2 linked regions of the Saccharomyces cerevisiae S288C genome follow. The protein of the gene in region 1 interacts with the protein of each later gene in a biochemical or structural test. Each region holds a gene or a part of one and is shown on either strand. Other genes may lie near its edges. The genes, in order: VIK1 and TUB1.

Region 1 (4,763 bases):
GGTTGCACGTTCTCTTCCGTCGATCTGGAACCAAGCTGTGGCGCTGCGTGGAACCGTCCGGAAATCTACAGAAGCCGTTAGAAGAAAACAGAATAAACACACGTGACCCCGTCAGTGTGGAAAGCCGCGGGATCACCACCGTTATTCGTTTTTTTTAGCACGCGCGCGAAGATGACACATTGCACACCACATGTTTATGACCATTGTTATTACTCATTTCACTGTTATTTTGCATCCACATCCACACCCGGGTGGTTTTGCAATTCGGTAATTACTCCACGGTGCATAAAGAAGCGGCTCTGCGTAAAAAGGTATATATAAGAACAGGACTCATCTTGATTTCGGAAAGGGTCTGGAGCAACTCTCTTTCTTTCTTACTTGTTTTATTCTTGAGAAAACCAAACTAAATTGGCTACACCAAACCAACCAAACTTACACACAATAATATACAATTACAATTATTTACAATGTCCTCTGTGGAATCTTCCCCCATCTCGCGCTATGAAGACGAGGTCTTCCCTCTTTCGTTTTCAAACGTTGCTTTCGAGCCCCCTATGCTCTCGCATAGCCCGGACAGATCGACTTATGCCGATGACTTTTCTCAATCTTACCAGCAAGAATTGCTAACTTTTCCGCTATCGTACCCGATTGTCGATGAGTCAGAATGCACGCACACTAAAGATAAGACGGACAGCAACATAATAACGAGTACTGAAGACGATTGCATGTTCGATATGGAATTTAACGGCAACGCCGCCAGTGCAGTTGCTGCTGCTAGTAAGGAATCTAACTCTGCCTCTGGGTTTGCCTTTGCAAGTAACGATGCCTTTGCCAATGTCGCACAACAGAACTACAGACTGTGGTTGTCATCGGTATGACGCATTTTACCACATCTCTACTTGTTCTCACGACCCCTTGCATCGCATATCCTACACATTTTAAATCGGCATTCCTTCCAAGCATATTCTTAATTCCTAATTTTACATAGTTTTTTTTTTTTTTTAGAGAAAATAACAACAATATACATAGAACTTACTTACTCAATTCTACTATATCTTTTTTTTTTGTTACTATTAGTCATGTTTGCATGACTCCATTACATTTTCGTTTTTTTGCTAGCCAATTCTGGTCGTCGGAAAAACTTTTCATTGAATCTTTCAAAGCGTGTAGCAGTTGCATTTTTTTAAAAATGAATATGTATGCAAAATATATATATGTATATATATGCCTAATATACATAATAATAGAAAAAAAAAACCTCATACGAAATAGGCGCTTCTCGTATCTATACTCAACCCGCCCCCAATGCTGAAAATTGTTACTCGGGCTGGACACACAGCTAGAATATCGAACATCGCAGCACATCTTTTACGCACCTCTCCATCTCTGCTCACACGCACCACCACAACCACAAGATTTCTGCCCTTCTCTACGTCTTCGTTCTTAAACCATGGCCATTTGAAAAAACCGAAACCAGGCGAAGAACTGAAGATAACTTTTATTCTGAAGGATGGCTCCCAGAAGACGTACGAAGTCTGTGAGGGCGAAACCATCCTGGACATCGCTCAAGGTCACAACCTGGACATGGAGGGCGCATGCGGCGGTTCTTGTGCCTGCTCCACCTGTCACGTCATCGTTGATCCAGACTACTACGATGCCCTGCCGGAACCTGAAGATGATGAAAACGATATGCTCGATCTTGCTTACGGGCTAACAGAGACAAGCAGGCTTGGGTGCCAGATTAAGATGTCAAAAGATATCGATGGGATTAGAGTCGCTCTGCCCCAGATGACAAGAAACGTTAATAACAACGATTTTAGTTAATGTCTGCATTTTTACCCCTCATTTGTGCCCCCAATTTCTCCTGTGAATAATCTATATATATATATTTATAATTATAATTATAAGGAAACAAGTCAACTTTATAATATACTCTTAAACAATCGTTTCGCGATATCCTCTGTCATGCCTCCACTGCCAGGTCTTTATTGTTTAGTCTCAATAATCGCAATTAAGTTAATAATATTTGCAATTGCGGCAAAGAAAAAATAGGTAAACAAAGAACTGAAAAAACAAAAAAAACAAAAAAACAATGAATATAGAATATGAAATGCCCTAACAACACACACATACACACACATTCTCCTCGCAAAAGCACCATTTCCTGACCAGTGTACTTTATGGCGTCACAGCAAAACAAACACGCTTTTCTTTCAAAGAATAGAATCTTTCACAATCCCGATAATGTGTCCTCATCAAAATCTCGAAACCTTATGGATATCACAAACACGACAAACACCATGAATGGCTCTAGACCTTCGTCTATGAAGAGTTCATTGGCTCTTCCACCCGTAAAGGATTCCTTCCCATCTGTATCTCGATCTGCATCATTAAACATCAACATGAGCAAAATTAAGGACTTAAAAGACCGCCAAGACAAAATAAGGTTCCAAAGACATACTCTCAGGACTCAATTGATTGAGTGCGAAAGAGAAATCAAAACCATCAAGTTTCGAGATCTCAATAAGTCCAGGTTTGAACTTTATAAGAAAAAATCCAAACAAGCAAAGTATCTCAAACAGGTTAGAGATTTGACGCAAAATCTGAACTCCAAGGACGGTGAACGCGCTGATTTAATTAAGAAGAACAAATCCGCTTTGGCAACCTTGCAGGCTGAACTCGACCAGAATCTGATCTTGAAAAGGCAGGAATCTCAAGAATTGTACAATAATAAGCTTATCTTTTGGGAAAATGAGCTGCAAATAATGGAAAATGTCGAGCCTGACCACGAAATCACAGAGGAAATATCTCAGTTGAAGAAAACGCTGCAAGAGCTCAACATAAATTGGGCGAATTTACAGAAGCAAAACTTGGAAAGACAAGTAAACCACGAATCACAATTGAGGAAGGATTTTATTGCATTCAAAGAAGCTAAGTTAAAATCCATGGAAAATTTGACAAACAAACATCGTGAATTACTTGATCAGATAGCCACTCTACAATCGGAAAGTGAGAAGTTACACAAGGAGATCATGGATATAGATAGACAAGCTGAATATTCGGAACAAAACATCTCAGAAATAAATGAAAATATAAAACAATTGGAATTGGCAAACAACCCACTAATAAGCAAATCCTTACAAAACTCGCAAGATTTGGAACATTTACAAAACCAAATGGAAAATTTGAAAGAAATGGCCTCTAAACAGGAAAAATTTTATAATGATACCTATAACACTGTGGAAAAAGAACTCCTGCGGAGTAGGAGACTTGAAAACTCTATTATTGAACAAAAAGGCACGATGCGCTGTTACGCTTACGTGATGGAGCAAAATTTGCCTGAGAACCTTTTATTTGATTACGAAAATGGCGTAATAACCCAAGGTCTAAGCGAACATGTTTACAAATTTAATAGGGTGATACCGCATTTAAAAGTTTCTGAAGATAAATTTTTCACTCAAGAGTATAGCGTTTACCATGATATGTGCCTGAACCAAAAAAAAAATTTCAACTTAATATCTCTAAGCACCACTCCACATGGCTCATTGAGAGAGTCTCTAATAAAATTTTTGGCCGAAAAGGATACAATATATCAAAAACAATATGTGATCACCTTACAGTTTGTATTTTTATCAGATGACGAATTTTCTCAGGACATGCTCTTGGATTATTCCCACAATGATAAAGATAGCATAAAGTTGAAATTTGAAAAACACTCAATTTCTTTGGATTCCAAACTTGTCATCATAGAAAATGGACTCGAAGATTTGCCCTTAAATTTTAGTTGTGATGAACACCCAAATTTACCTCATTCTGGGATGGGTATAATCAAGGTGCAGTTTTTTCCTCGAGATTCAAAAAGCGATGGCAACAATGACCCCGTACCGGTGGACTTTTATTTTATCGAGTTAAATAATCTGAAGTCCATTGAACAGTTTGATAAAAGCATCTTTAAGAAGGAATCATGCGAGACCCCTATTGCACTTGTTCTGAAAAAACTAATTTCTGATACTAAATCCTTTTTCTTGCTAAACTTGAACGATTCAAAAAATGTCAATAAATTATTAACGATTTCAGAAGAAGTTCAAACACAACTTTGTAAAAGAAAGAAAAAGCTCACTTAAGCTCGGTCACATTATCGTCTTTCTTAACACAGCCATTTAGATATGAAACAAATAAGGTTTATAATCTTTCAATATAATTACAACATACCGCATACACACACTTTTTATACATCAATCTTCCGTTAAGATTCCTTTAATTAACCAATTTAATTCATGCCTTGTACCAACGTTTCTTTCATCCAAAGGCGTGAAAGTCGGCTTTTCATTTAAGAAGTCCGGCAAGTCGTCAATATTGCTCTTCATATCTACTAGTTCATCATCGTTAACTAGCCCTAAATTAGTTAACGCATAGTATGAACCTGAAGGTTCAACCAAATTCGGAAATATAGATAACGAATCATATATGTCTTCATTCGTTAATGATATCGTTCTGTTTTCATGTAACTCCTCATTAACTGCTTCGCCAGCCTTTGTAATGCTGCTCATTGATATGTCGCCAATATCGTCCTTGCTACTGTTATTGCCGTTATTAATACTTTTGGCTTCATCGGCACATTCATCCTCATTTTTATCATCATCTAACTGCTTAATTTTGGCATCGCGTTTATCAGCAGCCATTTCTGATACGGATTTATAAAGCCCACTCTCATTCAAATCATAATAATCTGAATATTTCTTCCTTCTATAACGAACTGTATC
Region 2 (4,199 bases), on another chromosome or scaffold:
GCACCGCAGTTCGTGACCTGTGCCTGCGTTATGCGAGAGCAAAAGGGCCCTTAACGAGCCGGCACCTAAACGAAAATTTCAAGGGTTTTTTTGGCGGTGCCTAATAAGGAACGCGCAGAACAATAGACCCTGCCGGTAAACGATGGCCTTGCAGTCGTATACTGTTAAAACTGTTGAGTGGGTGAATGGCAGGGCCTAACTGCTTGCCTAGGAGTACCGCAGGAACGGTACGAATCGAGTGGAGACAGCAAACCTTGACGTGTGCTTGCTTTTAAACGGGTCGGAGAATTTACTCTTGAGCATATACGTGTGGGCATATGCATACAAATATATAAATACATTCGGGTGTATACGTAAATATATAAATATATAAAGTAACATATGTATATAAAGACGAAAGATTGAACGCCATCGTGGAGAGGGTTTTCGTATGAAGGTGCCTTAAGTCTTGTGTAGAAGTAGTTCTTTAGTTAAGATAGAACCTGGTAAAGACTCAATGGACTATTTACATGTATATAACAACAACCAGGCGCACGTTCCCAGAACACCTCCAGGCAGGCAGTGCCTATCGCCCGTTCTGCCCCCAATCATATTGGCGTTAGATCAACAACATTCGCTGACATTTGGGTACTCCAGCCCCAGGTGCTTGCCAACACCCATATTGCCTTCTATGAGCACAAATACGCCCGTCCATTGGTCACAACAGGTTGTCACTATCCCTGTCGCTGTACGAAATCATGCCGCAATGATGCCTATTATCACACCTATGACCTCCCCAAGACCTCAGTTTGAAGCAACGGCTCCCTCACCCCCTTTGGCCCCGGTCGCCATAAAGCTGCCAGATTTGAAACTACCACCGTCGCCTGTGCCCAGCACAGTAGAGGACAGAGTTTCACATCCTATCCTGCCCAAAATTGTGATCGGGAATGGCGGCGGCCGTGATGTTGAGCGAGATAGTACCGAGGAATTAATTAGGAAGATTCCAAACTACATTGGTTGTGCAAAAACAAAGGCACAATTGAGCAAAGTTAGGTCTGGTAAACAACTAATTGCATGCGCACAGGAATATCACCATCCAGTAAACAAGGACGAGATCGAAAATATCAACAACATTCTAAACTTCAGGGACTTTATTTTCAAGCATCCAAAATCCTCCTTCGAGTTCCTATGTACCCTGTCGTTTGAGCAGTTCGTTAGAGTATATTCATTCATTAGTTTCATCTACAGGACAAAGAAAATCAATAAGAACAAGTACGAACTCGTTTGTGAGATGAATGTTCACGAGCAACTCAGCAATAAGCGTATACAAAGAACAAGGACTCCTGAAAAGTACAAAATACATTTGATCTGCGAGTCAAAACTCATACTGACCTTCAACCACTGTACGAAGACAGTAAAATTTGAGTCTATCAATGGCGGGCACTGCCATCCGATTTCAGCCAACCACATTATCAAGCCCTCCCTCTTCCTTACCCACTGCATTAATAAATGCTACCAGACCGTGTCAGACCCTACCGATTTGAAATTGGCATTGAGAGACGCCTTAGAAGCCCTTGATCATGAAAGGATAGGATTGTCTTTCTTAAAGAGGAGACATTTCAAGTGCTCACACCAAGCATCATCACTCTCGAATGCCAGCGCCACATTGAAGAAACAAGAAGATCATGACACATTTGGTGTACATACAGGAATAATTCATACGGCAAATTTCTTCATGTTTAATGCATCTAGCGATATATTCCAGAGGAACTAACATATATAAATATCTGTATCCTTCTTTAAGAAAACACAATTGCATACTTTTTCCATTATAACTGACTGTTTCAGATCCTGCAATAGAAAGTATTTTTTAAGTAATGAAATAGTGCTTCCATTGATAGTAAGTGAGTAATAAGACGATCGGAAACTATTAATATAAGTATAGTTTACATATATATATATATATATGTGCCAGACGATAATATCACCGTAGTTTCCGGCCGGGTTATGCCACGCGAAAACGCCTCGAGCCAAGGGAAAAACTAAACTACAAAACAAAACAAAACAAAACAAAAACATCTACTATATCGTTTTACCCAATTCAGTATATCCGTCTACAACAGTTCTCGCCACCCAAGATCTGTAAACTTACAACTGCAAACAAACAATGAGAGAAGTTATTAGTATTAATGGTATGTTCGATTTGCCCGTCCAGGCTAGATCTTTTTTTTGTTAGTTCATTTTGGCGTTTCATCTTTCATTACTAACTTCAACGCAAAATTTTTTTTTTTTTGATTTCTCTTTACAGTCGGTCAAGCTGGTTGTCAGATTGGTAATGCCTGTTGGGAATTATATTCCCTTGAGCACGGTATTAAGCCGGATGGACATCTAGAAGATGGCCTTTCAAAGCCGAAGGGAGGAGAAGAGGGTTTCTCCACGTTTTTCCATGAAACCGGCTACGGTAAGTTCGTTCCAAGGGCTATTTACGTGGATTTAGAGCCCAACGTTATTGACGAAGTCCGTAACGGTCCTTACAAGGACTTGTTCCATCCAGAACAGTTGATCAGTGGTAAGGAGGACGCGGCTAATAATTATGCAAGAGGCCATTACACCGTTGGTAGAGAAATTTTGGGCGATGTTCTGGATAGGATTAGAAAACTGGCAGACCAATGTGATGGGTTACAAGGGTTCTTGTTTACCCATTCTCTTGGTGGTGGTACTGGTTCCGGTCTAGGGTCCTTACTGTTGGAAGAACTATCCGCTGAATACGGTAAGAAATCCAAGCTGGAATTTGCCGTATACCCTGCTCCACAAGTGTCTACTTCTGTGGTTGAGCCTTACAACACAGTTTTAACTACACATACTACATTGGAACATGCAGATTGTACTTTCATGGTCGATAATGAGGCTATTTACGACATGTGCAAAAGAAACTTGGATATCCCAAGACCAAGCTTTGCAAACTTAAACAACCTAATTGCTCAAGTGGTATCATCTGTTACAGCATCATTGAGATTCGACGGTTCATTAAATGTAGATTTGAACGAATTTCAAACCAATTTGGTTCCATATCCAAGAATTCATTTCCCCTTAGTTTCATATTCTCCAGTCTTATCCAAATCAAAGGCATTCCATGAGTCCAACTCTGTGTCAGAAATTACAAACGCTTGTTTTGAACCTGGTAACCAGATGGTCAAGTGTGATCCAAGAGATGGTAAATACATGGCTACTTGTCTGTTATACAGGGGTGATGTGGTAACAAGAGATGTTCAAAGAGCTGTCGAGCAGGTGAAAAACAAGAAGACCGTCCAATTGGTTGATTGGTGTCCAACTGGTTTCAAGATCGGTATTTGCTACGAACCTCCAACTGCCACACCAAACTCACAATTGGCCACTGTGGATAGGGCCGTCTGTATGTTGTCAAATACCACATCCATTGCTGAGGCTTGGAAGAGAATCGATAGAAAATTCGATTTAATGTATGCCAAACGTGCTTTCGTCCACTGGTATGTCGGTGAAGGTATGGAAGAAGGTGAATTCACCGAAGCTAGAGAAGATTTGGCTGCTTTAGAAAGAGATTACATCGAAGTGGGTGCCGACTCATACGCTGAGGAAGAGGAATTTTAAGGTTCACTCTCGCCCCCAACCTCCTTATCCTTTCTATATTTCAAGTATATTGTAAAAAAAAAAATTCCCCCTACTGTTATATCTCTTTGGTGATATCTTATCTATAATCTACTTATTATATTTCTCTAATATCTATGTACAAAAAATAAAAAAAAAAACCATTCTCCTTCTCTAACCTGCATTTGATGAAAGCTTAGTAAGTCTCATCGTAGTTGATGGGCCAAAGACATTTGTACTTGTTTCATCAGATTCTTACATCACCCATTTCCATGATTATTTCACGGATTTCATTAGTAATTGCATTTTTGTATCCCTAGTTCCTTTTCTCCCGCCTTGCCGTCGAATTGAAAAAAAAAATGGAAATGAGGACATCTTCCATTGATATCCAGGACAAAGCAAGAGTAGAAGTAACTATTAGCAAGGAGAATTCCAAAAATAGTGAACTTCAAGGTAAGCAGATCTATAGTTTCAATATCTGATTTTCTGCTTTTCAAAACTTAAAATTCATTAGAAGGTAAAACAAGAACCCGTAAAATTAAAGTTACCGATATTATCAGGTTTTTCACCCCATGTCTACTATCCCATTTAGAAAG

Evidence for each region.
Region 2: the proteins of VIK1 (region 1) and TUB1 are reported together in a solved structure, tested with the Saccharomyces cerevisiae proteins (one study listed by BioGRID).

Annotation. Positions count from the first base shown.
Region 1 is NC_001148.4:70,424-75,186, reverse strand, and holds VIK1 (Vik1p), read left to right. Parts: upstream 1-2,180; coding exon 2,181-4,124; downstream 4,125-4,763. Other genes in the region: ATG41 (Atg41p), read left to right, coding at 468-878; YAH1 (adrenodoxin), read left to right, coding at 1,306-1,824; HFI1 (Hfi1p), read right to left, coding at 4,236-4,763. UniProt on the Saccharomyces cerevisiae protein: Together with the minus end-directed microtubule motor KAR3, plays a role in microtubule organization. Recruits KAR3 to microtubules, and together they may stabilize the polymers. The KAR3-VIK1 heterodimer cross-links anti-parallel microtubules.
Region 2 is NC_001145.3:97,348-101,546, reverse strand, and holds TUB1 (alpha-tubulin TUB1), read left to right. Parts: upstream 1-2,146; coding exon 2,147-2,171; intron 2,172-2,287; coding exon 2,288-3,606; downstream 3,607-4,199. Other genes in the region: YML083C (uncharacterized protein), read left to right, coding at 497-1,753; ALO1 (D-arabinono-1,4-lactone oxidase), read left to right, coding at 4,176-4,199. UniProt on the Saccharomyces cerevisiae protein: Tubulin is the major constituent of microtubules, a cylinder consisting of laterally associated linear protofilaments composed of alpha- and beta-tubulin heterodimers.